3 linked regions of the Coturnix japonica genome follow. The protein of the gene in region 1 binds, or shares a complex with, the protein of each later gene. Links are inferred from orthologs where the notes say so. Each region holds a gene or a part of one and is shown in the gene's direction. Other genes may lie near its edges. The genes, in order: SPTSSA, SPTLC3 and ORMDL3.

Region 1 (10,095 bases):
CAGTTTGCCATTAGACAAGCCTTGAAAGTCAAGATAGGTCTTCTGCAGCCAATGATGCTGGTTTAGGCTGCTCTGAAACTGCAGCTGTAGAGGTGTGTTAATGCAGACCTGAAATGTGCTAATTACTCCAGCTGTGCAGTTGATACACAGATGACTGCTGAAAAACATACTTTATTATAGACTGGATTTTCAAAATGTGACGTGTCATTGTTTATTATACAGAGTTTCAAGCTTGAAATGTTTTAGGTTATAAATACCCATATTTGAGTCACTTGCATTCACAACTTCAAGTTCTTTGCCTACCAATCATTAGCTCTGAACAGCCATGCATCATTTTGTAGTACCAAGATGCACTCCAGGGGTGCTTATTTCAGTGAGAACCAGTGTGTTTTTAAACATGTTCCTCAAGACCAAGACAGCTTCAATTCTTTCTGTGATGTTTTATAGTTGGGCCTGTTGTTCTGTTTCTAAAACTTGATATTTCTATAGCTTTCAGCCATTTGCAATGGCACTTCCTATCTCTAATCCGATTTCCAGAGATGATAACTTATTTTGTGGAAGCAGAGTTTTTACCAGTGGCATGACTTGCATTTTCTCCTCTTCTCCCTAGACACGAATCTTACAAAACACAATACAGGGCGATGTTTGTGATGAACTGCTTTGTTAACAAAGAGGAAATCCTGAAATACAGAAAGAAGGAAAAGAAAAGAAACAAGAAGAGGAAACACAGTGAAGAAACTACTACTCCTGTACAGTCAAATCAAGAAGAGGAGGAAGTGTATCATCCAGTATTATGTACTGAGTGCTCAACTGAAGTGGCAGTGATGGATAAAGATGAAGTGTTTCACTTCTTCAATGTTCTAGCCAGCCACAGCTAATATGCAAAAGCAGGAAAAAAAAGGGCTCTGTTTAAGACTGTGTGAAGTATCAGAAGTGCAGGCACATCCATCTTTTTAAAATATGTTCTCTTAAATGTACATTTCTATCAGATAGCTTTATAGTGGTTGGATTTCTGACACTATTCCTGTATTCCTTTTTTATGAAGGGAATCCTGTTAACTGCTTGCATTTGAGAGCGATATTCTTCTACACTGTCAGGTGGTCGCGTTGTCAAGGATTTAATGTTTTGTAAATACAGTGTAAAATCTGTGTATTATGATCATTCCCTGTGTATGTACTGTCCAGTACCTCAGTGTGTATTAAAACTACTGCTTAGAATAAATACTGTATCAGCTGGTTCCCCTTAGCTGCATTGGTTGTTTCTATGGAATGGAAACTATTCTATTCAATGGAACTGTTAAACTTGGTAGCTCTCAGTGAGGATTTTGGGCTTAAGACAAGATTTCTATATCATTTTTACTACCTATGGTCTGACTGGCACATTGGCAGAAATGATGCCATCTGAAGTGGGATAGACTATTACTACATGCTTTAAGCCTGGAGGCATATAGGGAAAATTTTGCTTAGTAACACTGTGGAGGAGCAGATGTAATGGAGGCTGTACTCTGCTGTAGGGCATACTGGCCTCAGTGCAAACTGTCTTCACAGTCCAGGTGATGCATGAAAGCTATTTAGTGTCAGGGTAAGATTGTTGCACTGAGCTGCTGAAAACAGGAGAATGAGGATGTTGTTCAGGGGCTCAAAAGTCAGTGCAGGTGGTAGCAGGAGGAGCAATTGTTGATGGCAATTCTTAAGCAGGAGTAAGATGAAGATAGTGAAGAATGAGACACTCACTATACGGAGGAATAGTGTCCATTTATTAAGGGGCTAACTAGCAAAAGCTGCCTTCTGAGTATGCACCAAATTGAAACGGTGTAAGGACCTGGACAAACAGCTGGTGGATGTGGCAGGAAATGGTGAAGCTGGCATGCTTCCACATTACCTTTCTTCTTATCTCAAGTGCTTGCTGCTGCTTCTTGCTCGCCCGAATTGCAGTTCCTGTTTTCATGAGACATGGGAGCAGGAGAGACTGGGAGATGTTTGCTTCATATCGATACTGCTCTTGCAGCTGTGCAAGGCTGTAGTGCTTTAGATGTGCTAAAAACCCCACCTGTCCTTGGACTTCATGTGCTTATTTAGAAAAGTAGTTTTCATCATGGCTGCAGATCTTTCAAGCAGTGTCAACAACACAAGACTCCTCCAGTGTCAATTACAACAAGCAACAGCTGTCTTGGGTAGGGGCAACAGCTGCTGTAGCCAGCTATGTGGGGGTATTGAATCGTATAAATACGCTCGTTTCTTCTTGTGCTGAAATAAATTGATCTAGATATATTATGTCTGAATGTATTCTAGCTGGATTAAAACCCGTATCAGATCTTTCCACATAAATTACGACAGTGTTTGGTTGTCTCTGCCAGCTAGTTTTCTTTTGCACAGTTATCTCCTGGTGCTGTAGGTGCAATTCACAGCTCTGTAAATAATTAATATGAGCACCCTGCTGTGACTGTATTTCCTTGCTTTCCACTGTGCTAACAGCACTGGTTAAATTAGGTGTGGGGCAGCTGCAAGACTAGGGTTGCACTAGAACTGACATAACGTAAAGCTGTTTTACTGAGCAGGATGATGGCAGAGGGCTGACAGCAGTTTCTCATCTGTGGTGCACACCTAGCATGTGCATGAGGCCTTTCCTGGTGGCCTGGCTCCAGCACACAGGGGTTGGTTGTACCTTGTACTTAATCGCGATGCTTGACTTCCCCACGTGTTGCTTTTCACTGGGTTTGTGTTCTAACTACTGCATTTGAAACTCAGTTGTCCACGTAAGCTGCCAAAAGTCAAAATAGCAGTTACAAGTTTCTAACACTGAAGCATCTGGCCCCAAACACCTCTCAGAAGGGCAAAGTTAGCAGCCATTATGGTAAAAAGTTGATCTTTTTGCCTCTTCCGCTGTTCCTGTGGGACTGATCTAGTCAGTCCATGTTGAAAGACTGCACATTTACCTGAGCAGTGGTTTTGGGTGGGCTTTGCCCTGAATACTAAAGGTACTGAAGCCGCCTGCAGAACCCTTTAACACATATGATGAATCACGTTGAACGCAATCTTCAGGTGATCTCTAATACCCAGTATGTCCATTTAAATGAAACAGGATGGGAGAAAATTGGGTGCAGCAGTCTTCCAGATATGACTCAGATCTGCTCACATGGTGACGGACAATCGTGTGATGTGATGTGATCTAAGCAGGATCAGGCTCGCGCATACAGCTGATTTATTCTGTAGGGGAAAATCAACGCGTTCTGCTACGGGGACTGAGAGTGGCTGGGTTTTGTAGTATGTGAAGCGAGCTTCTTCTGCGATCCGCAGAGACTGTTTTGTACGGGAATACAGGCAGCCTCACGGCCATTGTAACCGACTCCAGGACTGACTGTCAGTACCGTACACGCGCTGTGAGGACGGAGAGGAGACGGAGCCGAGTGTCCGCTCCCTCCGCCCCGCTTCCAGGGGCCGTGCGGGGCAGCCTCGGCGTTCAGTGTCCGCTCCCAACTCCGTCCGCTCCGGGGCGCTGCCGACCCGACCCGCGCCCCGCCCGCCTCGCAGCGCCTCCATTTCGGGAGGCCGCAGCCCGGGGCCGGGCCTCGCGCGGTGGGGCCAGTCGGCAGCGACGGCGGAGGGAGGCGGGTCCCGGGCAGCCACCGCCCCCGTCTCCGCTCGGCCTGGGCCCGGCGCAGGCGGCTCGGGGCCGGCGGCGGGTGGGGAGAGCGCGGTGCGCGCCATGGCGCTGGGCTCGGCCTGGAAGCAGATGTCGTGGCTGTACTACCAGTACTTGCTGATCACCTGTAGCTACGTGCTGGAGCCCTGGGAGCGCACCGTCTTCAGTATCCTTCTGCCGGCGGCGCGTGGCCTGTCGGGCGGGTAGCTCTGGGGCCGGGTGGGATGTGGACGGTGTCCCGGGGCTGTACCGAGGGCGGCGGGGAGCTGGGAGCGGTGTGCGGGGCTGGCGGGGCTGCAGCCGGTACGGGCGGAGCGGGGCCGGAGTCAGGGAGAGCCTTAGTGCCGGCGCGTGCCTTCTGTCACGGGCATCTGCACGGTCCGACCGCCTCTGCCCGGGGCCAAGTTTACATCCTGCCGTGCTTTCTCCTCAGCCTTTCTTTTATCATTATTATCTTTTTCTTATTCTTTTCTCTCCCGTAGAATTGCGGTAGTTATTTTTCCCCCCTGACTCTTCAGCTGGAGCACCATGGTTTCTGCTCAGCACAGCTCTTGAGTTAATTCTGTTTTGTCGTCTCGTGGAAAGTAAATGTGTGTGCTGGGGAGCTTTGGTTTGGGCTGCGCTGTGTCACACGCTGTTTGTTAGAAGAGCATTTAATCCTTGAGCCGGTGAATTTGTTTGTCTCTTCTGGAGTGGAAGAACTGGATAGATGCTAATGTGAGGCTTCTGTATGCAGACTACTTGTAGGCAAGCTTCCTCAACCAGCTCTGTCAGACTGGCACTGCGGTGTCCTAAGGGCTGTTATTTATTACCAGTGGTGTTCTTTGCGAGCGTGGCTGGTTTGATCTTGAGTTAAAATGATGTCTCATGAACGACCCTGAGCCATCTCCAGTTTATGCTGAGAGGCACAGAGACAAACCAGCCAAAACATTAACACTGCTTGCACCCATCAAGAAGGGTTTAATGGTGAAAAGCTGCTTTTCCTGGTTAGTTGTAAAGGAACTCATTATATAAGAGTGGTTTCCCAGGTTGTAGCTGGTTACAGGTTGCAGAGAGTTTTCTAATGTACACTTGGTAAAAGTGGAGTCATTACTATTTTTTGGCTTTCTCATTCTTACAGATGCACAGTGCTCAGCTATTGAGGCAGCGGTTTTTAGTTTCAGAGTACTCTGTTTCTGATTAGAACACCCAAATCTGTTTATGCTGTGTCTGTATCACTGAAAACACTCCATTTTTGCTTTCCTTACAACTAGATCAGTTATAAACAAATATATGTATTTTCCTTTCATATTAACTGGACAGCTTCTTAACTTGGACAAGGCATTTAAGTAGTTGACAGATGTGTGTGCATGTTTATAAAGTGCTTGTTTTGCAGTGAAGTGATCGTTGCTCCACTTAAAATAGTGTCCTGAGTATCCCAATATATTGTTTGCAGCATCAGATGAGCAGAACTGTCCCTGTCCTCAGAGGGAATGCTGTCACTGCTGGTGGGCCAAGTCTGCCAGGCACTGTGGTGCCTGGACCACACTGGACCACACAGGCACATGGCCTTGGAGCTGGCAGTCCAGAGACTTGCTGTGTGTATTTCCAGCTTATTGTATTCAAGAAGTGTAGGGAACACTGATACTGGAACGTAGATGTAGCATTGACCTTCATTTTAGTGTCTTGCATTGTGCAATCTTCTGGGACTAAAAATACACCCAGAAGCTGGCATGCTCTAATAAGCACCACATCTACCTCTTGGGGAAGTCAGTTACAGAGCCCTTGTTGCACACATGCTCTGGTTACTTTTCTCTAAGTTACAGAGCATGCACGGCTCCTCTGATTTCACCTGTGGAAACCTGAGTACTGTTATCAGTGTTATCGTGCTTGTTAATCTTCAGAGCTCTATATAGTGTTTCTGAATCTCTGCAGGTTATTGTTGAGAGTACAGCTCTTGAATTTCTAAAGTCTTAAACTTTGAGTGGCCTAATCTTTGAGTAGTCTGATGTTATAGTTTCTGTTAGATAAAGCCTTGAGAATCCTGGAGTATGACAAAGGTCTAGTTGTATGTTTACATTGTAAGCCATCTGACTTCTCTGACTTTCCATTTGGAGTTCAGCTGAATGAAGGGGTCATTGCTTAGCAGATGGCTTCATGTGAGATTTGTTTTGCAGCTCTGCCATAGTAAAATACCAGCAAGCATATATTTATTTACACGCACAGATTTATTCCAATCATGCTGATCCTATGAGGCATTGGGACTGAAATGTCTGGAAAGCTGTGTGTCACAATGTTGCCCATATTTTTCATTACCCTTGCAGCCTATTTTTTTTCCTAAGTGCTGTCAACACTTTAATGTAGCTCCTTGCCTGTGATAAAAGGTCTGAGCTGATAGAGCAGCAAACCAAATAATGTAGTGACTTAAAGCCTAGAGAACACTGTTTTCCTGGCTTTATGTTTGCAGTACAACTTTCATGCCAGATGTTTTGTGAACGATACATTAAATGTATTATGTCATTCTGTTCTGGTAAGTTGATACCAACATTTAATGCTTTCTGCTTAATAGTGAGTAAGCTGTGCACAAATATCAGCTCTTACTCAGTACAGGTACTCATATAATCCTTCTGTTTTTGCCTCTCCTTTTTTTTTTTCCTGATGGTTGACTTTTCTGCCTGACTGATTGTGCTGGCTACTGCAGGTATTGCTTAAGACCTTGGAGGATGTATGCGTAATTCATATATCCCCAGTGCCCATTTTCAGTCCCTTCTTCCTTCCCACGCTTCCGTCTGTACTGTTGTGTCTATGACAAGGCAGTGGATATCTTACAAAGCATCCTGCTGTAATTCACTTTATCACCCCTACCCATGCTCTGTTTTTCAGTGTTCTGTTGCTTCTTCCTACAGCTGTAACTGTTGAATACAGTTAGTACTTAAGATTTACAAATATAATGTTATGAGATAGGAAAAATGGTAGTGCTGTGCTTATATGACTTGTAATGTACTTCTGGTTTCAAATGCTTTCTTCCTTACCTGTCGTTCAGATTCAATGCTAGTTTCCATTGTTGGAATGGCACTGTACACGGGCTATGTGTTCATGCCTCAGCACATCATGGCGATATTGCACTACTTTGAGATTGTGCAGTGATGAAGAGTGTATGTTCAAGAAGTTATCGTGCTCTGAAATCTGGTCGACAAAGAAGAACGAACCTCTTAGTTTTAACAAGACTTCTACCGCTGTCCAAAAAGGAAAGACACAATGATGATTCTGAAGACTAGGAAACGAGATGTGTAGAGCAGGGGCATGAGATGTCCCCTATGTTGTGTTAATTCCTTTTGATTTTACAAGATATGCCCTTGTATAGTAGTTTTGTCTACCTTAACATTGTGATTGTACTTTGATATCAGTATTTTCTTAACTTTGTGACAGTTTCGATATTGCACTGTGAAAGCTTTTCTTAATTGTAATTTTGAGTAAATCTTAATTGCCTTCTATTTTTAATCAGAAAATCGTCTAATTAAATGGGGCTTAAAGCTTTTGCTATTGTATGGTATGTATTTGCCTGGGTATTTCTATCGATGCATTTTTGTAAGAAAATACATCTAGATTCATATTAGAGACATGGATATATTCGTCTAACACTATTTACACAGATTAGTTTGTACGACTGAACTCAGGTGTACCGTTTTCTTGTCCAAACTTTGTTCAACAGTATATTTGTGCGTATCACCTGAATTTGGAATTAGCAATGCTTTTGAGTTTCTGCGCTCCATGTGTTGGAGGAGAGTGAGAGAGGGAGAGAGAGCACTGTAGCAATGGAGGCTGCATTCTTTCTGCTTGAAGAAGTGCTGTGGTTGTGGTGTTTTCATAGTGGGAACAGAAGCACTTTGCTGACATAGGCCCACATAAAGCTTTGGGATAGTACTTTAAATCAACACTTTTTCTAACAACCAATTAAATTGTAATTTTACATAGTGCTTTGTTATGTTCTGTTGGTGATGGTTTTCTGCTAATATTCACTCAACAGTGTAACAGCCTATGTTTTAAAGGGGTTTTCTATCGCCGCTAGCGTTCCAAATGCGTTCTCTCTACAAATGACCAAAAGGGTTTTAAATGGACTCGAGTTACAACTACAGCAATAAGTAGCTGAAAACTTGACTGAAGTCCTGTCTTTTTTTTGTTTTAATTTTAATTTTTTTTAATAGGGGTTTTCTTCAGTTTTGTATACTGAAATGTAAGATGGTGCCAACCTGACTTTCTGAAGTTTTTTTCTTTTTGCTTGTTTGTTTAAAAAATAAAACTTTAAAAGCAGAGCTTTGCTGCAAAACTTTCTTTGAGCAGTTAGTTTGTTTCTGAATGTTGCTTGCTTTTCTCAGACCTGTAAAAAAATGAAGACTAGTACTTGACCAAAAATTGCAATTTAATGGCCTGGTAATAACGTGTACTGTTACATTTTTATGTGATTTTAATATTCTTTTAATGAGGAATTAAATAACAAGGAATTTTACCTAAGTTGTACAACTAAATTGTTCTATAAATACATTTTTAGGTTTATATGGCTAATGCACACAGATGGAACAAAAAAACCAACCTTTTTTCATTTAAGTACTTTATGCATCTCTGATGGAAACTCTGTCTTGGAGCTATAAATGGTGGGCCTTCTTAGGTGAACCAGAGCCTTACTGCCATTGGTAGAGGTCTCTCAGTAAATCAGTGCCTTGTTTAGGGTGGAATTTCTTGTGAAGATTACTTAAACTTTTAATTGCCATCTTTCACTTACCCCATGTCTGCATGAGAGGCCCAAGCAGCAGTGTTAATGATTTGGTAAATGTAATCCCGCCTTTCCTTATTTAAAGTCGGTGGAGCAAACATAGGCAGTTTTAAAGTGCATGCACACAGGTGCATAAGTATTTTAAAAATGGAGATAGTGATTAGTTAACGTTCTCTTTTTGAAGGGGTGTATTGTAAATTCATGCTGCCAGTGGGTTAAATTGGTACTGTGATGTTTCTTTGTGAACTACCATTGTGTTTCAGGCACATTACTGCTGAGATAGGGTTTTAGTTGCATGGGGGAAGGGAAGATGAGGCAAGAAAACAAACAAATAAATAAATAGCTCTGTGTTGTAGCATTTTAAAGGTTAAACATGATTTTTAATTGTGAAAGGTTTTATAAAAGGGCTTTGGTGTACTGACTTTTATTAGCTTTTTATTAGCTTTTATCTGCTTTTTGTTGAGAAAAATGGCTACCATCACCTTTAAACATTTGCATTATGTTAGACAGGGCTCCAGTGATATCATACTTGGATTCAATTTGCTAACTTGAGGAATCCTTTTTTTAGCAGTGTTTTTTAAATTATAAACCAAGAATTTCTTAGGAGCTTTGCACTGTTCACTTTGTCTCCTGATGCTTTGCTAAAGATGAAATTATTTCATTTACAAAATACTGTGTGTTTCTAGAGGTGTTTCTATAAGGAAGTATCTGCAGGGTGATTTTTGTAAAGGTGATCTAGTGAAGAGATGGATCAAGTACAATAATTATGAAGGAAAATGAGCGTTTCTTCTTCTTTTTAAGTAAAAATGCTGGTAGGAATTTAATCCATCATTAAATTTGAATAATAAATGAATCCTAAGGCTATGAAGTTGTTTCCCCACTGCAGTCTGCTTTAATGTCATGTTAACTGGGGAATCAATTCCTTCATGTTCCATACTTTGAGCTTCCTCTTTGCAAGCTGAGGCACCTTTAATTCCATTTGGAGGAAGCAGGTCAATTATACTTTTGTTTAAAAACGAATGCTGTTAACCAAGCCATCAGTATTTTATATACAGATAGAAAAAATAATCATGGGAAGTATCTGAGGGGTGTGTGTGGAAATCTGAGTCCTTGAAGTAGCTTTTTGTTAGTCTTTTAACGACAATAGCTCCTGGGATTTAGCTGGAGTCACTCAAAATGTGTTTAGAAATGTGTTAACTCTTACAGCACAGCTGATAACGCCACTCCATCAGACAGCCCTTAGCAGAGGCTGGCACCCTGCCTACGGTGGTACCTGCTGTGCCTGGGGCTCAGCTGCCGTCCTGCAGGCCTGCTCAAGAGTTAGCTACACACAGCCCTGGGTGGCACGATGTCTGGGTGCTGCAAGGATTGTCATTAAAAATTCATGGTAGGAATTGCTGTAGCTATAAGAGGGAACTTAGGCATGAAAACTAGCTGGAAACTGTTCTGGGACCTGTGTGTGTATGCATTTGTATGTGTATGCATGTCCCAAATCAGTCAGTTTTATAAAAACACGTACCCTTCTCATTAGATCATTCCTTCTTTCTATTTCTTCCTCAAGGATACTTTTCTGAAGTGGGATCAGGCTAAGACTAGCCAGACCTAGTTGTAATGTGTCTGGAGGCTGTGATAACTTTGTTTCTTTTGGGTTATTGTGTTGCACTTAATTTGGAGATTGGTTGTGGTGGGTTTTTTTTGTTATT
Region 2 (9,984 bases), on another chromosome or scaffold:
GTTTTAGCCAGCTTAGACTCTTCTCTGACTTTCTGGAAGGGCTATGCAAAGTCTCTCATCTTTTCCCAGGCTTTCTTCTCTTTCATCTACAATCCACCAGTCTCTTCACTTGATTCCATTCTCCCAGCTGCACACTCTTAAGTTTACGTTTGATTTTGGTGCCTCCAGGCTGTGGGATAGATGGTAAGCACAGCACCAGCAGTGGAGAGCTGAGTCTCTTGACCTTTTCAGTAGCCCTCTGTTTGATGGGATGAAGCAGCAGATGACAGAAGCAGGACTACCTGGATGAAAATTGAGAGCAGCTCTGTTTATTCTAACTATGAATTCTATGTGGCAGCTTAAAATTTCTCTCCACTAGCAGCTGCCTTTCACTAGATTTGATTGTTGTTTGATTGGTTGAATCTGACTGTTATTTGTTTTCCTCCTAATTTCTATGTCACTGAGTGTACACATCACACACCACTAACAGATATTTTGATGTTTACTCTTTCTGTCCCCCCAAAGTCACAGATAGAAGCAGCATTGACGGAGGGGTAGGAGTGGCCCATAGAAACCTGTTGGAAATGCTCTAGAAGGTGAGGACTTCAGAAATTTAACATACAGTGTGAACAGCAGGCATTTAGTAATTTTTGCTGGGGAACAAGGCTACTTTTGATTTAATTCTGTCCCATGAACCTCAGACAGAGTTACTGCTTCAGTTCCTCAGCTCAAGTAAGGCTTGTAGTAGAGAACTGACTCAATAGTCTTATGCGTGCCATGCTGTTATGAGCCACCTGTATGGAATGAACCTGAGGATATGGCTGCATTACAGTAGGTAAAGCTACTGTAGGTTTTGATCTTGCTCTAGTGCTGTTACTTTCTGGAGGAATTATTCAATATTCATTCAGCGATTCATTTTCCTTTCCAATAGAAAATCCTGTTTGCCATAGCAATACCAGCAGGGACTCTGCTTCTCAAGTACAAAGCTCTCTCCTGCAGATGCACATTAGGATGTAAGTTGAACTTCAGAAATGTGTTTTATGGCAGGAAGCTTCTATGGTATAATAAGATGACAAATAAGGTATGCTATGAGCTCATTAACTGAGACTCTTGTAGTCCTCATCCGTTATGCTTTGGCTTCTCCTGTTGTTTTCCTTTTCTTTTGTCTATTCGTGCACTTTTGTTTAACTTAAAAAAAAAAAAAAAAGATTTTCTTGAGAAAGAAAAGGTTACAGGTGTGTAGATATATAAGGCTATTTTTAGCGTGCTGTTTCAACCATAGTTGAAAACAGCTGAAGGTGAAAGTGAATTCAGGCTGCTTCAGTGTTGGGGTGATGCAGACTGAACAGCTGCCAGATGCTTGCCTGGGATCTCTGCAGAATTTGCAGCCAGCAATCTAGTCTGCTTCTCAAGGAGAGTCATGTTAGAAAGAAGCAGATGATCCACCATCATCTGACCAATCTCCTTTTGGTTTCTTTTGTGGAAATATTGCTTCTGTTGCAAAAGTCACAAAGGTTCCTGCTCCAAAACCTGCTGCTTCCTCATCGATTGATACAAAGCATCTGCTATCTGTGCTGCTAGCTGGTAGATCCCAATTGTGATGTCCTGGCTTGGAATTTGGGGGGCTGATGACCAGATATTGGAGTACTTTGCTTGCTCTGAGGAAACACGCATTCCTCACCCAGGTGTCACCTGCCTGGAGCAGCTACATAGACTAACAACAGCTACCAAGGTAACCAAACCAAGGTAAATCCACTGAATAAACGTTTACATGAAAGAATGGGATACAGACAGTATGACCACATTAGACCAAAATCATACCAAAAAAACCCTAAAAAATGAATCCCGAGTCCCGACACCTTTATGAAAGTCTTAGCCAGTAAAGCTCCAAAGCAAATCATAATCCGGTAATTGGTGCTTTCTGCACCACCAGTTCTGTTTCTTGAAGCAGTAAATTCATCTTTGCATCTCTGTTTTAGAGAAAACCTCAGGGTCCTGCCTGCCTTTGCTAAAGCGTGAGTAACAGCAACAGAGGATGGCAATGCCTCAGCATCTCCTTGGGCAGCATAGGCAGCAGACCTTATGCAAGGTCTTATGGGATGCTCTGATACAAAAAGAAAAGGGAAAAAAAAAAAGTCATTATTTCTGCTTCATTTGTTATCAGCACATAAAGGTAAGACAGTATAAGGCAGTGTTAGAAGAGGAGTTAGGCAACTTCCCAGTGTTAGCACATTAGTCACCCTCCACACACTAAAGCAAAGGTCAGGGCAGGATTTACGTGGAGTCTGAGAGGAAAGAAGAAGCAGGTAAGCCCTGCTTAGTGGAGAGTCTTCTTTGCTGCCCTGAGGGTTGTCAATGACACATTTCATTTTGCAGATACTGGCAGTTATAAGAGTGAGGGCAGGATTCAGGATAAGTTGTCAGCCCATCCTTATTCTGAAATTGATGGAGAACAGTGGTCTGGAGTAGGGCTTGCTATTAGAAGTGTATGTTGGCTTGAGCAGGCCTTGTTCTGGGAGGAATGGTCTAGTTATATTCAGTGTTACCGCTGTCTGAGGTTAGGTTAAGAATTGCTTCAGAGTTTGTGGTGGGTCAGAGGAGTCTGAATAACATTTATGCAGTGTACGGGTTTGGGTTTGTTATTTTTTGCAAAGAATAAGATGGAGCAGCATGCGAGGGAATGTTTACGGAGGAGGGAAGTGAGTTCAGAATGCAGAGACAAAATGCAGGCAGAGCATTTCATTTGCTCAGCAAATCTTCCAAATCAATTTCAGACTGAAGGGTGCAGCTTCATCTTGTAGTCAAAACTATTTTGAAATCCACTCTTTTTCTCTCTGCTGCTGCTGGGGATCCAACTGTGTAATGATGGCTCAGTTTCATCTGCATTATTTTGGGAGCCAACAGTACTCCACAGCTTATTACTGTAGGACGGCTAAAGAAAGTTCTTTTCATTTGTATTCTAAATTCAGCTTCCCTGTCTGCAAGTACTCTGCTCTGGCATTAATACTTGTAAGACAAATAAAATAACAAAATTTGTACCTTTTGATTATGATTTAATGATTTTCTCTGTGTGATAATGGTCCCTGGAAGAGGCACAAGGTATAGGGATAGCTAGGTCCCGGAAGAGATCAAAGTTGGCTCTCCTAAAGTCCAGGGTAGCAATCCTACCCTTTGCTTTGCTTCTTCCCCTCAGGATCTTGAACTCCACTATCTCATGGTCACTACAACCCAAGCTGCCCCCAACCTTTACTTCCTTAACAAGTCCTTCCTTGTTAGTGAGAATAAGGTCCAGTAACACCCTTCCCCTCACTGGTTCCTCCACCACTTGCATCAGATGGTGCCCATCTATGTTGCAGCTCTGTTGCTTTCCCTGTGCAGGAAAATGCAGAGCCCCAGTTACAGCTTAGGGTATAGCTGCCTGTGTTCCCATGGTCCCTCCCCATGCTGCTGCACTGCTTTTCTTCTTGATGGGAAGAGTAATATTTTGTGACAAAGGTAGGGTTTTGTGACAGCAGCAGCAGAAACTGCTCTCCTTTCTGACTAGTCCTCTTGGAAAGATCTTTTAGGTCTAACTATCCAGGGGCTAAAATCAGTGCAGGACTTAACCAACGTGCCTTGGCTATTTGGATAAAATAGCCTAGTTCTGATTAGGTAAGGAATCATAAGATAAAGGGATTTCTTTTTCTCAGAACCGGGCATAGAATAGCAATGAAAAAAGCTGGATCAAATAGCCAAAGCCAGTATCTTCCCCCTCAGGCTTTCTTTCAGTTCCTTTGTAGCACATCAACTTAAAAGAGACTTAAACTCCGCTTTCTGAAGGTTGTAGATTGGGAGGTGAAAGCAGAAAAGAAAAAGGGAGATCGCAACTGCAGCCTCCTAGGAAATGCTGGTAACAACCTATCATCCATCCTCAGAGCTGGGGCTGGCAGTGTTTCTGCCTGTCCTTGTTCCTGTTGGTCTTTATCTAAATTATCTGCTGGCACATCCAAAAGGTGATGATGGTATGTGACACTGGGTGTGATGAGGTGTCTGCAGTGCGTTTCCCCTCTCTTAGTACTTGGGGAGGCTGCATGGGTAGAAGTAGGGGGGAAAGTGCTTTTTTGCTATGTTTTGTTCCTGATGTGTTAATCCTTTCCTGCTCACTGTGCTGTTCAGTCTGTGGGTCTGCAGATATACCTGTGCTTATTGTGCCAGCTTATTGCTTAAGGTATTTTGGTATCAAAAGTGGAGCACTGGTACAAAAAGCTGATTTTAATGTCCCCCTTATGTTAAGGAGCTATTCCCACTGAATGCCACAGAGATCTGTGCACCTGTTCCCCCCAGACAGGAAGAAACAACAGCCTTGAGTCTTCTGCTTCTGTGTTAGTTTGCTGTACAGTACCCAAAATACATGGGAGAGAACAACACAAATATTCTTACAGGTGTGACAACAAAAAAATAGAAAAAAATAAATCCCTCAAAGGGAAAAAGAAGGAGGGGGAATCAAAGAAGGAAGACTCAGATATTCTGTCAGGTATGTTTGTGTTGTTTGTTTTTTCAAAGGTTTTGTGAAAATGCACTTACTTAAAAGGAAAATTTGTTTTATTAACTTCTCTGTAGAATTAATATTCGCCCATAGAAAATGCAGCCTCCTCTAATTTTGGCTGTTTATCTCTCTTCATTTTGTGTGCATGTGTGTGAGTGAAATCTTGTACCCACTGAGCTTCCATAAAATTATATGATGCCTGGGTCCCTTACATCCTGTGTTCAGCACAAAGCAGGAACCCGAATGCTGCAGCTGGATGCACGATTGCTGATGTCCAGAATATCTGATGTGATATATGACTTGAAGAGGAGCAACGTTTTCTTCAGTAAAAGAGGTGAAATAAAAGGGTAAGTTTTAAAAGGTGAGTTTTCTTGCCTTCCTGCACACACACAAAACCGAAGGGCTCCCAGAGGAGAAGATACATAAATGAGCAAATGTTAATTGCTGAATGTCTCATTGATCACCACACAAGTGATGTGGATAGGTTGCTACTGAGGGGATTTGGGTTTATACAGGCTTTCTCCTTAGGGAACGTTTTCCCCAATTCTTGTCAGTGTTTCCCAGTAATGGGGTATGCTGCACGAAAAGCCCTACAGCCCTTATTTTATGCTGTAAAATAAATGTCCCCTGCTGTCCCAGTGGTGTTACAGGACATATCCTATGGGATAGCTATGTCCCTGTGTTTCCTGAGTTGGTGTTTTTCTATTTCTACTGAGCAAAAGGTACCAGGAACCACTGTCACCTCCTAGAGTGCCATTCCTGAACATGGGGATAGAACAGCCCCAGGTGAGATAGCAGTCAGCCATACCATCACCAATTGAGAAGCACAGAGCCACCCTTATCACTGCTCTCCTTGGCAGTGAATCCTTCTTCTTGTTTAAATGCCCCACACTTGCACAGGCGTCTATTGCTCTGGTCCTGATGTGATGCATGCTTAATGAGCTCTCCTGCAAAGAACACAGGGAGCTCAGCAGCCTTCAGCAGAGGCCACAAAGCTTGTTATTATATCTGTAATTGTGTGGGTTTTTTTGTTGGTGGTTTTTTTTTCCCATTTCTTTTTTACTATGCAGAGAGAAACATACTGGTGTTCCAAGCAGTAGTGACAGGATGATCCTGAATGAACAGAAGATGAATCAGTGGGTGAGCAGTTCCCTTAAGAGTACAAAGATGTTAAATTAGTTGAGTCTTGTACTGCTTTGAAGTTCACAGACATGACATTTTGGTGTTTTTATCACGTCTTTGCGTGTTTGAGCTACTGCTTAGTGAGGTAGATGCTGTCAAATCCTGATAAAGCAAACTCCGACGTCCTAAAGTCAAACAATGATATAATGCAACACGCAAAAACTATGAGCTGGGTTTGTTTTTTGTCCTTTTTAGTCACTTAGGATATCATTAATGACATCTGAGCATTTAACCACAGGGCTGTCACTGTTGTTTAAAACCAAGCTCAGGTAGTTATTTAGTTAACTCAAAGAGATTAAAAAAATGAAGACAACTCACATTTCCAAAGCTCTATATTTGCAAGGTAGCTTATATTTCACTCTGAAGGTACTTTGCTTTAATGTGCTTTGTCTTTTCCATATTCTGATGGGAAAAAAAAAAAAAAAATCAAATAATTTTGATACTCAATGTTGCAGATGAGATATTGTCTTTTCAGGTAGTGTAATTTCAGCTGTGTATCACAAGGTTTTATCACACTGTCTTGCTTAGGAAAATCCAGTCTTGCTTAGGTTATTTGTGTGCTACATCATTTTGAAGTATTTCAAGACAGTGCACTGTGAAGAGATCATCCGGAGGTGTTTGGCTGCTGTGTTGTAGGCTTCTGCTCTCTCATTGCTATGGGATGCGTGCACCTTCCAGCAGCACACTGAACACCAGGACTAACATCTGCCATGTTTTGTTTGCTTTCACATGCTCCCTCTGGGGGAAATGTATATGCAATGGATTGCCTGGTTTGGGTATGGCTTCTTCCTAAGGGAGTGGTTTGCTTTTATTTGTTTGGTGGTTTTGTTTTATTTTAATTTTCAAATCTGATTTGATTTCTTTGTAAGAAAGATTCATTCTTCTGCATTTCAGTGAGAAAAGGCAAAATGGATGAAATACACAGAGTGGTACCTGGAGAGGTTTGGAAATGTCCGTGTGCGTGGAGGGGGGTGTTCAGTTTTGTTGGTAATTCCTTCAGATTAGTCTGAACTTGGTAGGGATTTCTGTGCCAGAGGAGCTACAGTGCGAGAGCTCTGGGCTTGGATTCAGGCTCGCTGCAGAGGTCTGTGGCTGCCCAAAGGGAGATTTTCTGTCTGACAAACTGCAGCAGTGCGATGCAGCAAAGCAGGATCTGAGCAGGATCGCTCTGCCTGTGTCCTGCCTATGGGTGGTGTGTGGAGCTGGGGAGGAAGGGCTGTGTTACCACAGAGGTGGCAGATGTGCTTTGGGGCTGCAGGTCTCTATGCAGGAAGGGCTAACTTCAATTTTCTGGAAGCCTGAAACTTCAGCTCTGATGTGTAAATTCATCTCCTGCTAACTCAGATGTCAGTAGCTGCACGCTATCTGCATTGCTAACTATTGTGGTTGCTCACCGTTAACTTATCAAAGGAGATAAAAGGATGTAATTACAAAAAGTTATCTGTCACCAATGCCACTTTTTCAAATGTGACTCATTTTGCAGTGGAATTTAACAGCACCAAACAGACTGAGTGGAGGAGCAAACAGTTTAATTGTCCTTGAAAGTCAAATCAATTTGCCAGGGGACTGAGGAGCTTTCATGGGGTCAGTGTTGAGCTACTGTGGCCATTGATCATCAAGCTGCACTGGGGTGGTTGGGCCTTCAGTGCTGGTAAATGGATGCTCTCACCTCTAGCAGCAGTATCTTTGTACAGGAGTCATAGCTTTCTCCCTTGAAGGTGACAGTCAGCCAGTGGTGTTGCTGCCTTGTAAAATGGCACAGTGCACAAATTAACCGTTCCTAACTCCGGTGCTGCCTTACTTAGTAAACCAGACATAAATTATGAGTGTCCTTTGTGCATTTCAAGGTCTCAGATGCAGCTGCCAATACACACGGTAGTTGTAGAATGACTAGTGCAGGTATGCTCTAATCAGTTCTGCCAAAAAGACAGTGTATTATGTAAAACAGTTTCTTGCTTCCTAAAATCTCTGTGCAGTGTGCTAAACAAATACCTTCCCAGGATCATCACAGTTTTACTAACATTTCAAATGTTATTTATTTCTCGAAAATTATAGAGTCACAGAACCTCGTGGGTTGGGAGGGACCCAAAGCCCACCCATCCCCAACCCCCCACCAGCTCAGGTTGCCCATGGCCCACCAACCTGGCCTGGAGCACCTCCAGGGATGGGGCACCCACAGCTCTTGGCAGGAGTGCCAGGGCCTCACTGCCCTCCAAGTAAAGAATTCTCACCTATCATGTAATTTATGTCTCCCTCTTTTAGTTTAAAGCCATCCTCCCTGTCCCATGGCTATCAGACCATGTAAAAAGTCGGTCCCCTTCCTGCTTGTAAACTCCCTCTCAAGTACTAGAAGGCTTTAATGAGATCTCCCTGGAGCATTCTCTTCTCCCAGCTGTACAAGCCCAACTCTGTCAGCTTTCCTCATAGGAAAAGTGTTCCAGTCCTGTGACTAGTGCTGTAGTGACTGATTATCTGGAACTGATGGGACAGAGGACTGTGTCAGTGTGGTTATGAGGAAGAATGTGAACACTTTGGATAGGTTTGGATAGGATGAGACTGCCACGGGCAATTCATCCTTACAAACAGACTGGAGAGACAGGAATGAAAGGGATGAAAATAAAGGCCATGCAGGTACAGGCAAAATTTGAGATCAGTCTTAGCATAAGATTAACAAGAAGGCATTAGTTTACACTGGATGGATGAATGGATCTAGAGTAGCTCTTGGCAGCCTCCTCTGTAGGAAGCAGGAAAAGTGACCTCTTGCTTTCTGCCTTCCAGGGGCCAGTAAGGTATTTCCAGGGAAGCTCTACAATTTCCAGCCGGAGGACACACACTGAGCTTGAGCTTATTGCCTTGAACTGACTCCAGTGCGCTCAGGTGTGTGTTGCACAGCTTCTTTGATTGTGCTGTAAACAAGACGGGAAATTGCCAGTTAACTAATCTCAGTCAAAACTTACCCTCACTGAAGTACGAACTGAGCCGCCTGAAACGGGCACCAAATTATCCCTAAGAGTCCCCTGGAGCTTCAGATGCTTCTCATGTGTCCTTCTCTGTGGCGTTTCCACGTGCCTGCTATTTCAGCTGCTATTCACTGCTGCAGAGTCTGAGTCCTCAGGTCAGGGGAGTTTTGTCATTACCATGAGGACAGGCACAGGCTTCAAAAGCTGTTGTTGATTTTCAAATTAAAAAATCCTTATTAGCAGGGGGAATAAAATAAAAAAGTAAAAAAAAAGTTGAAACTTGCAAACAGAAAGCAATGAGAGGAGAATCACGTGCCTTTTGATCGTGATTATGCTTTCAGAAGCATATTGGCATAATGAGGGGATAATTACTAACTATGCTGGGTTCTGTTTTCACACATTTATGACGAATAGGCATGAGAGCGGGCAGGTTGTCACTGATTTGAGGTGAAGCTGTTCAGTCGGCACAAAGGAACCTAAACACCAGTAGGAAACAATTTGGCCTCCATAGTCTGCCTCTATGTTTCCAGTAGGACTAAACTTACTGACCAGCAGCAAAAGCAGATTGTGGAGATGCATCAGCAGTGCCCAGTTGTTGTATGTCTTTGTGACAGTAAAATAGTAAGTGTTAAAATACTAGAAGCTTCAAACCAAGCAGCTGCAGTGTCAAAAAGCGTTGTATCAACTTAGCTGTCTTCTTGCACGTGCACACAGAATATGAAGTCTTTTACCCAAATTTAAAGGGACTTGCACACAGATCCCATGTAGTTCGCCATTACAATGCATCCAGTCCAGAGTAACTTCAGCAGTTAACTGTCTCTTGAGGGACAGCACTGGACAGCAATGTTTCCATGAGAGAAAAAACTTCCAGCACTTGCTCTCACTACAGTCCTTCAATATGGAAAGGCACATCCTCTCTGCAACACTGCTCTCTACAGCCGCATGAAGGGAGGTTGCAATGAGGTGGCTGTTGGCCTCAAGTTGTGCTGGAGGGTGTGAGGGGGTCAGGCTGGATATTAGGAAGAATTTCTTAGAAGGAATGGTGAGGCATTGGAACAGGCTGCCCAGGAAGGTGGTGGAGTCACTGTCCCTGGAAGTGTTTAAGAACCACAGAGATGTAGCAATGAGGGTCATGGATAGTGAGCAATATTGGTGGTACTTGGACAGTTGGACTAGATGATCTTAGTGGTCTTTGCCAACCTTAAGGATTCCATGATGCTCATGTTGCTGCTAAGCACATTTGAAGGCCACTGGAAATCAAGCCCACGCCTCCCTGTAAAACTAGAACCTAATTTTCAGTCATGTAATTAGCCCTGGATAGCCTTAGCATATAACTTG
Region 3 (9,891 bases), on another chromosome or scaffold:
GCTGCTCAGCCAGGCAGGAGAGGGGATAAAAATAGAGCTGCCGTGTGCGTGGCTCCCCTGCAAAGCAGGGCTGCTCCCGAGGGATCCCGCCTCCGCTACAGCATCCCTGCAGCACCGGGAGGATGCGGGTGGGTTTTCCAGGTCCCCACAAGGCCGAGGTCCTCCAGGAGCAGCCGGCAGGGGAAGCTGTGGCTGTGGGCAGGGAGATGCTGCTGTGTGATGCTCAGGATGCCCCGGTCCCACCCAGCAGCAGCGATGTGCCGGATCCATCCTCCGGCCCATGAGGGCGCACACGAGGCGCTCAGCTCTACGAGCAGCTGGTGGGGGGGGGGGGGTTGGGGGCTTCAGCACCGAACGACCCCAAAGCTGCCTGAAAAAGACCCCGCCGAGCGGCTCCGCCGTTCTGCACCCTCCGCTGCTCCCCGGCAGGAGCTGAGCGTGCACAAAGCCTGCACAGATGGCTGCACGTGGGGAGAGCAGCGATGGCTGCGCTGACAAAGGCCGGGGACAGATGGTACCCAACAATGCAGCCCCCGGCCCTCAGCCATGCATGGTGCAGTGCATGCACCGAGCTGCGGGGTCACTGAGCACAGATAGCACGGATAGCAGGGCTGCAGGTGCTGAGGTGACCGCATCCCTCCATGCACAAAATGCAGGGGATCCGAAATGCCGACAGCTGGAGCCGATATCCCGATATTCCCACCCAAAACTCCAATGAACCCCAAGAGCTAAAGCTGCTCAGCCAGCAGCACACAGTGCACTATGTCCAGTGGGTATAACTCAGTATAACTCTGCATCACTCTCTTCCCTGGTTAATCCGCAAATTAACTCCATTTCCATGTTACACCCGAACACCGCGCGGTGCTTCACGCATCACGGGCCGTTAATTATGGCTACAACAAGAGAAGCGAACCAACACCGGAGCAGAACACGCACAGCACCGACCCCAAAGGGCACAAGGACCCCCCGGCCGCCCCGCTGTACCGTCACGGCGCAGCGCTGCCCCGCACAGCTCCGCTCCCGCACCGCCCCCCTCCATCCCCGCACGGCGCTGCCGCACTACAGCTCCCGTGGTGCCGGGCGGCGGGGCGGGCCGTGCCGAGGTGTCCGCCGGGAGAACGGCGGAGATCCCGGGCCGAGCCGGGGCTGGAGGATCCGGGCCGGGCGGTGAGTGCGGGCCGGGTGCGGGACCGGCCGGTTGTGCGGGGCACGCGGTGCAGCTCCGCGCTGCGGGGCCGTCGGGGATGGGAGACGGGGAGGGTCGGGCGGTGGGAGCGGGGCTCGGTGGGCGCTGCGGGGCAGAGGGCCGAGCCGTGCCGTGCCGTGCCGAGCCGTTCCGTTCCGTTCCGTTCCGTGCTGTGCCGTGCTGTGCCGTGCCGTGTTGTGCCGTGCCGTGCTGTGCCGTGCCGTGCCGCTGTTGGGATGCGGCCAGGGCTTTGTGTGCAGCTCCGGGTCGCACCGAGCTCGTTCACTTGTAGCGCTTCCTTTGTGTGCGGAGTTTCCCACCCCGCGGCCGTTTCCCACCGCCGTCCGATCCCGGCCGTGTTTGCTGCCGTCTCCGATCCGCCCGTTCAAACGGCGTTGCCATCTTGCAAAGAAAGGCTTTGAAATACTCGTTCTCTCGGGAGTTGGGGATTTGCTGCTGCCAGAGATTGGGATCGCGGCTCCGGCCGTCGGATCAGAATCTCCTGCGTGGCTGGGAACGAGCAGATCGACCGAGATAAGCACCTGCCGCCCTCCCCATCTCTGCAGCGCTCTGATCAAGCCCCGAGCAGGAGCTGCGGAGCCAGCACAGCAACCGGGGTGATGTGTTTGTTGGGTGGCAGAACGGAGCAGGAGGAGGGGATGCTCCTTTGGGGGCAAAGCAGGAGGTGAGGGATGCACGGGCTGCTCTATGGGGGCTGCTGGTGTCAGTTGTGCCACAGGGCAGAACAGCAGCGGGACCCGTGTGTGTGTCAGTGTGAGCAGTGAGGAAAGGCCCCAATCCCCCATGGCAGGGCTCTGCTCACATCCAGCTGTGCTCAGCACAGACGTCAGCACGGCGCTGACCTTCACCCTCAGCCTGGGGGAACGTTGCCCTGCCAGGACCCAACACTGCACAGCTGGGAAGTTGCAGCTCAGAGCAGTGCAGCTCCTGGACGTCCTCCTGCTTTTGTGGTTGGCTTTGGGGTTTCTTTCTGTCTGCAGGTGAATAAATCCCCAGTGTAAAATCAGAGAGCAAACGAGGAGGGATCTGGGCTGGGGGCGGGGAGCTGTGCATGGGAGCTGTGTTTGTTTGGGAGCTGTGTTTGGGAGCTTGCTCTCAGCCGGGCTTGTGCAATAACGTGCAAAGCTCAGTGTGCAATCTGAAGTGAGCAAAGAGCTCAGGCCAGGGCTGCAAACACGAGTCTGGAAATGGAAAAAGATTCAACAAGGAAAGGCTTTTTGAAGCTGGAAAAGGCCAAATTGGAAGAACACAAAGTGTTATCGCGTGGCCTAATGCTTGACCTCCCCACTGCTCTCTTGCAAGAACAAATTAACCTCCTGTGCTGTATTAATGAGAGCTTCACCACCCCAATCACTGCAGTGAGTGAGGAAACTGAGGCAGAGGAGAATTGCTTCACATTCAGCTTTGCCCTTTGCCACCCCACTGCAGTGCACAGCTGCCCTGCTTGGCAGACAGCAGCACGGAGCAGTTGCTCATTGGTTTTTAGTGCCATTAGAGCCATGGTTCATCCCAGACAGAAGCTGCACTTTATCCCACATCAGCTCTGTGTTCCTGCATTGCTCTGAACTTCCATTGCACACTTCACCCCACGTTTGGTCCCCATTCTCTGCAGGGATCCTTCATGCATTTGGGGTCCATCCATTAGCTCTCCTTTGAGTGTTCTCTAGACTAAACAAAGCCGTTTCCTCCGGCGTGGCCTTGCAGGTCATGTTTTTCCTACACCTCTGCTCATTCTCACAGCTCTGCCCTGGACTCCCTCCAGCAGAACTGGACATTACTCCAGCTGAGGCCTCACCAATATCTGGGAGGATTATTTCTCCTGTCTGGCAGGCAGCTCTCCTGTTTACGCATTCCACAGCGGTGGTTGCTTTTCTTCCTTCCCTTTTTCCCTTTCCCCCCATAGTGGGACATCTTCACCTCCTCTTACACTTCAGCACAACCCCCATGTTTCCTTCTGAGAGCCATTCAGGGCTGTGGCCACACTGAGGATGGAGCTGCTCTCCCAGCACTGACCTCCAGCTCCAATCCTGCCCCCCTGCCAGGCTGCTTTGTACCCAGAGCTGACAGCCACTAACCCAACAACCTGCAGATCCAGAGGCTCTTTCCTCCTAAACACAAACCTATTCCAGACCTGAAGCTCCCTGAGTGGCAGTAGAGACATGGGAGCATCCATCAGCTCAGCAGTGAGCATCCCAGAGCTGCACACGTGCTGTGTGAGTGAGCAGCAGGCAGGCTCAGAGCACAGCAGCTGCTGAAACAAACCAGGCCCAGCACTTAGAAAGGGAACTCGGAGTAGCTGGCAGGAACATCCAGAGCATAATGTCAGATCTGGCGTGGACTCGCCTCCTGAGACCAAGAGCTGGACAGAACAGCAGCTTGCTTTGGTTTTCAGCTGTGGAAAGCAAAGCAGCAAAAGCACGAGGCTGAACATCAGGGAGAAGTCATTGCTTTGGGATCTGCTGTGCAAGGGACAGGCTGTATTATTTCCTTGGGAAACAGGCTGAGTGTTTTATGCAAGACCTTCCCTGATCTCTGTGCAAAGATATCCTGCATTACAGCAGCTCTTTCCTGTAATCCCTGATCATTGGTAAGACAGCTCTCAGCTCCCCAGTAAGCTGTGAAACATGGATGAAAACAGTGACCTGAGCACGGACCTGCCTCTGGTTTTGTTTCAGAGGGGTGAAAACAAGAGCCAATATGAACGTGGGAACAGCACACAGCGAGGTGAACCCCAACACCCGCGTGATGAACAGCCGGGGCATCTGGCTGTCCTACATCCTTGGCATTGGGCTGCTGCACGTCGTGCTCCTGAGCATCCCCTTCTTCAGCGTCCCCGTGGTTTGGACTCTTACCAACATCATTCACAACATGGTAAGCCAACCCCAGCTCAAAGAGGCAAAATACTTTGGAGCTGTGGCCATCAATTTCGTGTCCTTTATGTTAACATCTGAGAGCATTGCAGTGGTGAATCCATCCTTGGGATTGCTTGTCTTATCTCCAGTGATATAAAAATACATGAACACATAAACCCAGAGCTATGACTGCTGGGGGCTGAGTGCAGCACAGCCGCCTGCATTTCACCCAGCTCCTTGCCCTGCTCAACCTTTGGCCTTGGGAACAGAGGGGAGCTGAGGGCAGCGAGGGCTGTGTGTTAAAGACATGTCTGAGCCCAACATTGCTTATCTATAAGACAGCAACGCATCCTTTCTGCCTTTTAGACAGCACTGAGCATTGCTGCTGCACAGTGCAATAATCCCGAGTGCTGTAATCTCACAGCTCCCTTTGCTTACAGCCCAGACAGGCGTTGCTCTTAGCAGCCAAGGCAGAGCCAGCTCAGCTTCCTGTGGCTGCTTTGGGTTCACAGCGCTGGTGATGCATCCCTCTAGCGGAGCAAAGTGCTGCTGCAATCTTACACAGCCCCTCATTACTCTGCTCCCCTGTCTGAAGCTGAACCATTGCTGGGGGGGGGGGCTGTAACACCACTCACATCTCACCCTGCATTTGTGTTCTCTGCAGAGCATGTACATCTTCCTACACACGGTGAAAGGAACCCCTTTTGAGACGCCAGACCAGGGCAAGGCGAGGCTGCTCACGCACTGGGAGCAGATTGACTATGGCGTGCAGTTCACAGCATCCCGCAAGTTCCTGACCATCATGCCCATCGTGCTGTGAGTGCTGCAGGGGAGCAAAGCAAGCGGGAGGCAGAGCACACGGCGTGCTGTCATTCAGTGTCTCTTTGCATTCTCTCTTTCTCTGCAGGTATTTTCTAACCAGCTTTTACACCAAGTACGACCGGATACACTTCGTCATCAACACCATCTCCCTGATGAGCGTCCTGATCCCCAAACTGCCTCAGTTCCATGGAGTGCGGATCTTTGGGATCAACAAGTACTGAAGCAGATGGAGGAGCAGTGGAGCTCATGGAGGTTCCTCCTCCCTGCTCCCGTCCCCCCCCTGCCCACACACACTGGGATAGTTTCACAGCAGCTGTTTTAAACGCAGTACCCAATAGACATACACCGCATGCTGGATCCTCATGCCCAATAAACCTAAAGAAGCTCCAGAGTAGAGTTTAGCCAGGAGCAGGATGCTGGGCTTCTTTTATTCCAGCATCATCATTAGATGCAGATACACCGAGACTCCAAGGTACAACGAGGATGAATCGTGGGAAGGTTTTCATCTATCCCAGATGCGATGAGAACAGGGGTGAGGGGGAAAGCTTTTAGTGCTGGTACTATTGCTGTGGTAAATGCACTTTAACATTACTTCCCTTTCTGAAGCTTTGGTGCTTTAAAGCGATCCGCGGGGAAATGGAAAGGGACGCAGCCAAACTCTCCCATTATTTGATGGTTTCGGGTTTTGGTTCCATTTCTTGGGCAGAGGAAGAGAAGGGAGGGGAACAGAATGACACAGTTTGATGTCGAAAGCTTTTATGGCACCGAGGAAGGAAGCTGTTCTACTCAAAGCAGTAGAGGAAAGAAGAAACAGGCTGCGCTTTGAGACGACTGTCTGCTCCCTTCGGAACCATCCATCTGGGTCAGGGGAAGGTCCCAACTTGCAGCTGTTACTTCCAGCTTGGGTAACTTTGCCTCCCAACCCAAACTGCTCAGCTTGGGGATGAAGGGCTGAGGTGCAGCTCATTATAACGACTGAGGTGCCTGGGAGGAACCAAAGACTGATGGATTCAGACCATGTGAGAGCTGAACGGCTGCTTGAGAGCTGGGTGGCAGCGATTTGAGTTCTCCTCCTCCATCCATCCCCTCGGTCTCCTCAGCCCACGTAGCTGTTAATGAGATCTGCCAGCTCTCCAATGAACTCGGCATGAAAACCTCCACGAAGCACCGCAGACCCCCAGGGCTGATGGCTGCCAATGGGGAGGGAGCAGAGCAGCACCGAGGAGCAGCACCAGCAGCACTGACCTGCCCCAGAGAAGGGTGCTCAGGTCACCAAAGACAACAGATGGTTTTGTATAGGAATAAACTCAAGCCTTCATCCCCCTCCAACCACCGCTGGAACAAGGGAGGGTTGTGGGGCTGCAGGTTTGGGTTTCCTGGCTGAGATGCTTTTTTCTTGCAGGTTTTGTGCTGGATGAAATGTGGTTTTGCTGATGCTTTCCCTTCCACCAGCCTGCATTCTTTTGTTGTTGTCTCAGTGCTTACGTTGTCTCACGTTGGCAATGGTGAAGGCATTTTAAATGTGCTGGGTTTGTTCTTAATTAGCCAAGTCTGGCTTGAGAAGTCAAAGTGGATATTGAGTTCTGTATGAGGGTCTGGGCATAGGGCATAGAGAAGCTCCAAGATCTACTATATAAGATCTGGTAGTACTCCATGCATAGTATTAGGCTTTATTTCTATCCCGTACTTAGCAGGCTGCTGCAGTGAAGGGAGAAAACAGTTAACGTAGCTCAGAGCCATGCTGGGATGCATGGGGTCATTATTTAACAGTTGTTGAGCAATGGGAATGTTTTAAGTGCAAAGGAAGCCTTGAAGAAGGTGGAAGAAGAGCCGGGTTGGGATTTGAGCGCTGATCTCCAGTGAGAGTTTGGCAGAAGTTTGGGGTACCCGACAGGGTGGGGGTTAAACCACCACGACACAAGTGCTGCTGCTTGAGTTACGGTACTACAGACCCTAAAGCTGACGAACTCTTTAAGCTACCAGACAATGACTTTGGGGGGGGGGGGGAATACTTCATTTTCTTTCTTTTTTCTTCATAACAAACCTATTTTGTTCATCAGTGCTTTGGAAATTAGGAAGGGATGAACAGCACCAGGGCCTGGGATGCTCACGGACACAGGGCAGCCCAGCAGGTCTGAATGTCTGACAGCACATGAACCCATACCCCAGTGGTAAACCTCCAGGAGAAGAGACACTACTCCTTTAGGCATGATATGAAAGGGGGAAATAAAAGCTTTCTTGCAGCAAAAGTAGTTGTTATATTGAGGGTGCTTTGGCTTTTAACCTCGACTCCCATCCATAGGATGTATTGAGTGTACAAGTTACCCCAGCTCAGAGCAGTTTTGGGGCTCAGCTCAGTGTTGCTGCTGGGGTTTGGAGCCTGCATTATTTGTGCTGTTGGCTGACACGACGGACACCTGATTCTGTTCTGCTCCATGAAAGAGCATCAATAAAACAACATGGACTGGAATTACAGACTTCTGGCAAAGGCAGGTTTTCAAGCCCTGAGTCCAGAAGTTCTCATGGGACAAAGCCTTCATTATGATGGTAAACTTTCCCCACTTTGTTTAGCTGGAGTGGTTAACATAGAATTACACAGGTGTCCCCATTGGGGTTACATGGCAGATAGTACTGGCCCTTGATAAAGTGGGCAGCAGTTGTGTTACCATGATGGATGCATTGCTGTTTCTTACTGGGACTTCCATGTCTCTACCATTGAGTGGCATATATTTTAAGCATGCAGGCCTTTGCATTGCCTCGTCCTCCTTGGATCAATCTCAGCTCCATTAGTTTGGTGGGGCTGGTTTTGTTTGAACACAACGTTCTGCCATCGGACGGAGTTTTAGGGTTTGGGTTTGCTTTGTTGGTTTCTTTCTTCCAGCAGCCCTTCCTTTTTGCTGTGGATGCTGAAGTCTCGTGTAGGGAACTTTCTAAAACAAAGTGTGAATATTTTTATTACTCCTTTGTAAAGCCTTCTAAGAGAAACTAATAAAGTGAGTATTCATGTAATAACCAGCCTTCAGCTCCTTGCATTCCCACATGGGCACTTCTGCTCATTGATGCTCACTGTGGCCGCAGCCCAACCAGGATGTGGCAGAGCTGGAACCTCATGGACTGCAGAGCTGGAGGGGCCAGAAGGGACCCCCCCAGTCCAACTCCAACCCCCAGCTGAGCATCACAGAATTGCTCAGGTTGCAAAAGACCTCCAAGGTCATCAAATCCAACCACAACCCAACCGTGCTACGTTAACCAGCACGCCCTGCTCCTCATCCCTGCATAACTGCCAAACAACCACAACAGAAGCAAAGTCCTACAGCCCAGGAACAAGGTACACAGGGATCGAGTGCAAAGTGCCCACAGCTGCTGGAACAGCACGACAGCAGAAGTGACGGCGAGAAAAGTTCAGGGCTGGGGTTATATCAGTTCTTCTTTCCTTATCGGGCAGGCAGTTCCGGGCTGGCAGGAGGCTCACATAGCAAAGCCAGTAAGTACAGGAGGCAGTGCAAGCATTGCAAGCACTGCAGGCATTGCAAGCACTGCAAGCATTGCAAGCATTGCAAGCATTGCAAGCACTGCAGGCACCGCAACCAGCTGGTCCCACTCCTGCAGCACAGAGCCCCACATCCCCCCACAGGCTCCAGGTAAGAGCTGCCCCACGGATGGGGGGAGGGCTGCCCCACTCTGCCACCCCACTCTTCTCTCCCACTGTCCAAAGTCCCTCCCCAGCTCCTCCTGGGACTTGAGAACTTTGAGACTTAAGGCTGAGTGCTCCCACAGCCCAAAGTCCCCCATTATCTGAATCAGAGCTGGAGCACAGACCCACGGTTCCCCTCTCCACCCATTCCCTTCTCTTCTCTCCTTCCTCCCCCATTTTGTCTTTCTTTCTCCTCATAAAGTTAAGCAACCGAGGTTTATTTCAACTTCCTATAAAGTCACAGTTTATCCTCACAGCTCTGACAGACAGAACTTTGAGAGTGCCAATACTTTTACAGTCAGCTTTAATGAGAACCGGTTACGTCTGCATTTGGATCCGAGTGTCCTTAATGGAACCAAGAGGGTTTGTGAATCCGGTCACCCTCCCCGGGCAGGACGTGACAATGTGCTCCTTTAGGGAGGGAGGAGAGCAAACTGTTGGTGTTGAATGGGATCCATTCCTTCAGAGCACGACACAGTGAGGCAGCAGCACACAGAAGGCACAGCACAGCACAGCACAGCACAGCACAGCACAGCACAGCACAGCACATCTTCCTCCTTAGTTAAAGGAAGCTGCTTTGCTCGTAAATCAAAGCTTATCTCACTTCTACTGACGTGTCACTGAAGGCCAATAAGCAGAACCAAAGTTCTACTTGGAGAACTAATAATGCAACAGCAGTTCCCATCCGCCCCATAGGGATGCAGGGAGAGGAGTGGGGATGTTGGGGTCTGGGGGGGGTTGGTGTCCATTAATCCCTCCCCAAAATGCTGAGGAACATTCTGGCACAGAACGAGTGCTCCTCCTTCCTCAGCCCATCACCTCCATCACTTTCGCTTCCTTAAAGACTTTGACCAAATCGTTTTCCCAACATTTGGTTTCAAAACAACAGAGCTCTGCCGGGCACCAACACGGGGAGAAATGCAGAAGCACAACGAAGCAACAACATCAGAACAGCAAGAGGTTGCTCAAGATCTGCTTTCTTGAAGCCTCTATGAGATCAATGCATTCATTAAAGCACTGGGGATCCCAGCAGGTGGTTAAACAGTCGTGCCCAGCTCAGGTTGCTGCTCTATGTGATGGTGCACATGACCAATAAAGGGTCTGCTGGAAGAGCAGCCATGGGCTCCAACTGCAAAGCTCCATCCCCACATGGGGATGAGCCTGAATAAGGCTAATTAGCAAGACATAGCTGCTAGCAGGACCTCTCCATGTGCCTTCTGAGAGTAACCTCATGCAAGTTGTATTCTTTGGTTGGGGGGGGGTTGTTATCCTCCAGTATTGGAAGATATTTTGTTGTCACTTCCTACTCATATCCT

Evidence for each region.
Region 2: SPTSSA (region 1) and SPTLC3 share a complex: the UniProt entries of both Homo sapiens proteins name them as parts of the serine palmitoyltransferase (SPT) complex. The link is inferred for Coturnix japonica from reciprocal best matches to the Homo sapiens genes SPTSSA and SPTLC3.
Region 3: the proteins of SPTSSA (region 1) and ORMDL3 are in contact, whole or in part, in a cryo-EM structure (PDB 7CQI), measured with the Homo sapiens proteins. The link is inferred for Coturnix japonica from reciprocal best matches to the Homo sapiens genes SPTSSA and ORMDL3. Residues at the interface, in NP_612145.2 of Homo sapiens: Ile44, Tyr50, Thr51, Val54, Phe55; in NP_001307730.1 of Homo sapiens: Val36, Leu38, Ser39, Ile40, Pro41, Phe42, Ser44.

The regions. Positions count from the first base shown.
Region 1 is NC_029520.1:32,504,685-32,514,779, reverse strand, and holds SPTSSA (serine palmitoyltransferase small subunit A), read left to right. Parts: upstream 1-3,481; 5' UTR 3,482-3,705; coding exon 3,706-3,808; intron 3,809-6,664; coding exon 6,665-6,768; 3' UTR 6,769-8,128; downstream 8,129-10,095. Other genes in the region: EAPP (E2F-associated phosphoprotein), read left to right, coding at 611-878. UniProt on the Homo sapiens protein: Component of the serine palmitoyltransferase multisubunit enzyme (SPT) that catalyzes the initial and rate-limiting step in sphingolipid biosynthesis by condensing L-serine and activated acyl-CoA (most commonly palmitoyl-CoA) to form long-chain bases.
Region 2 is NC_029518.1:11,214,446-11,224,429, reverse strand, and holds the start of SPTLC3 (serine palmitoyltransferase 3), read left to right. Parts: upstream 1-3,872; 5' UTR 3,873-4,492; intron 4,493-4,729; 5' UTR 4,730-4,851; intron 4,852-9,984. UniProt on the Homo sapiens protein: Component of the serine palmitoyltransferase multisubunit enzyme (SPT) that catalyzes the initial and rate-limiting step in sphingolipid biosynthesis by condensing L-serine and activated acyl-CoA (most commonly palmitoyl-CoA) to form long-chain bases.
Region 3 is NC_029542.1:3,976,953-3,986,843, forward strand, and holds ORMDL3 (ORM1-like protein 3), read left to right. Parts: upstream 1-1,403; 5' UTR 1,404-1,806; coding exon 1,807-1,871; intron 1,872-3,882; coding exon 3,883-4,078; intron 4,079-4,723; coding exon 4,724-4,875; intron 4,876-4,966; coding exon 4,967-5,102; 3' UTR 5,103-7,890; downstream 7,891-9,891. UniProt on the Homo sapiens protein: Plays an essential role in the homeostatic regulation of sphingolipid de novo biosynthesis by modulating the activity of the serine palmitoyltransferase (SPT) in response to ceramide levels.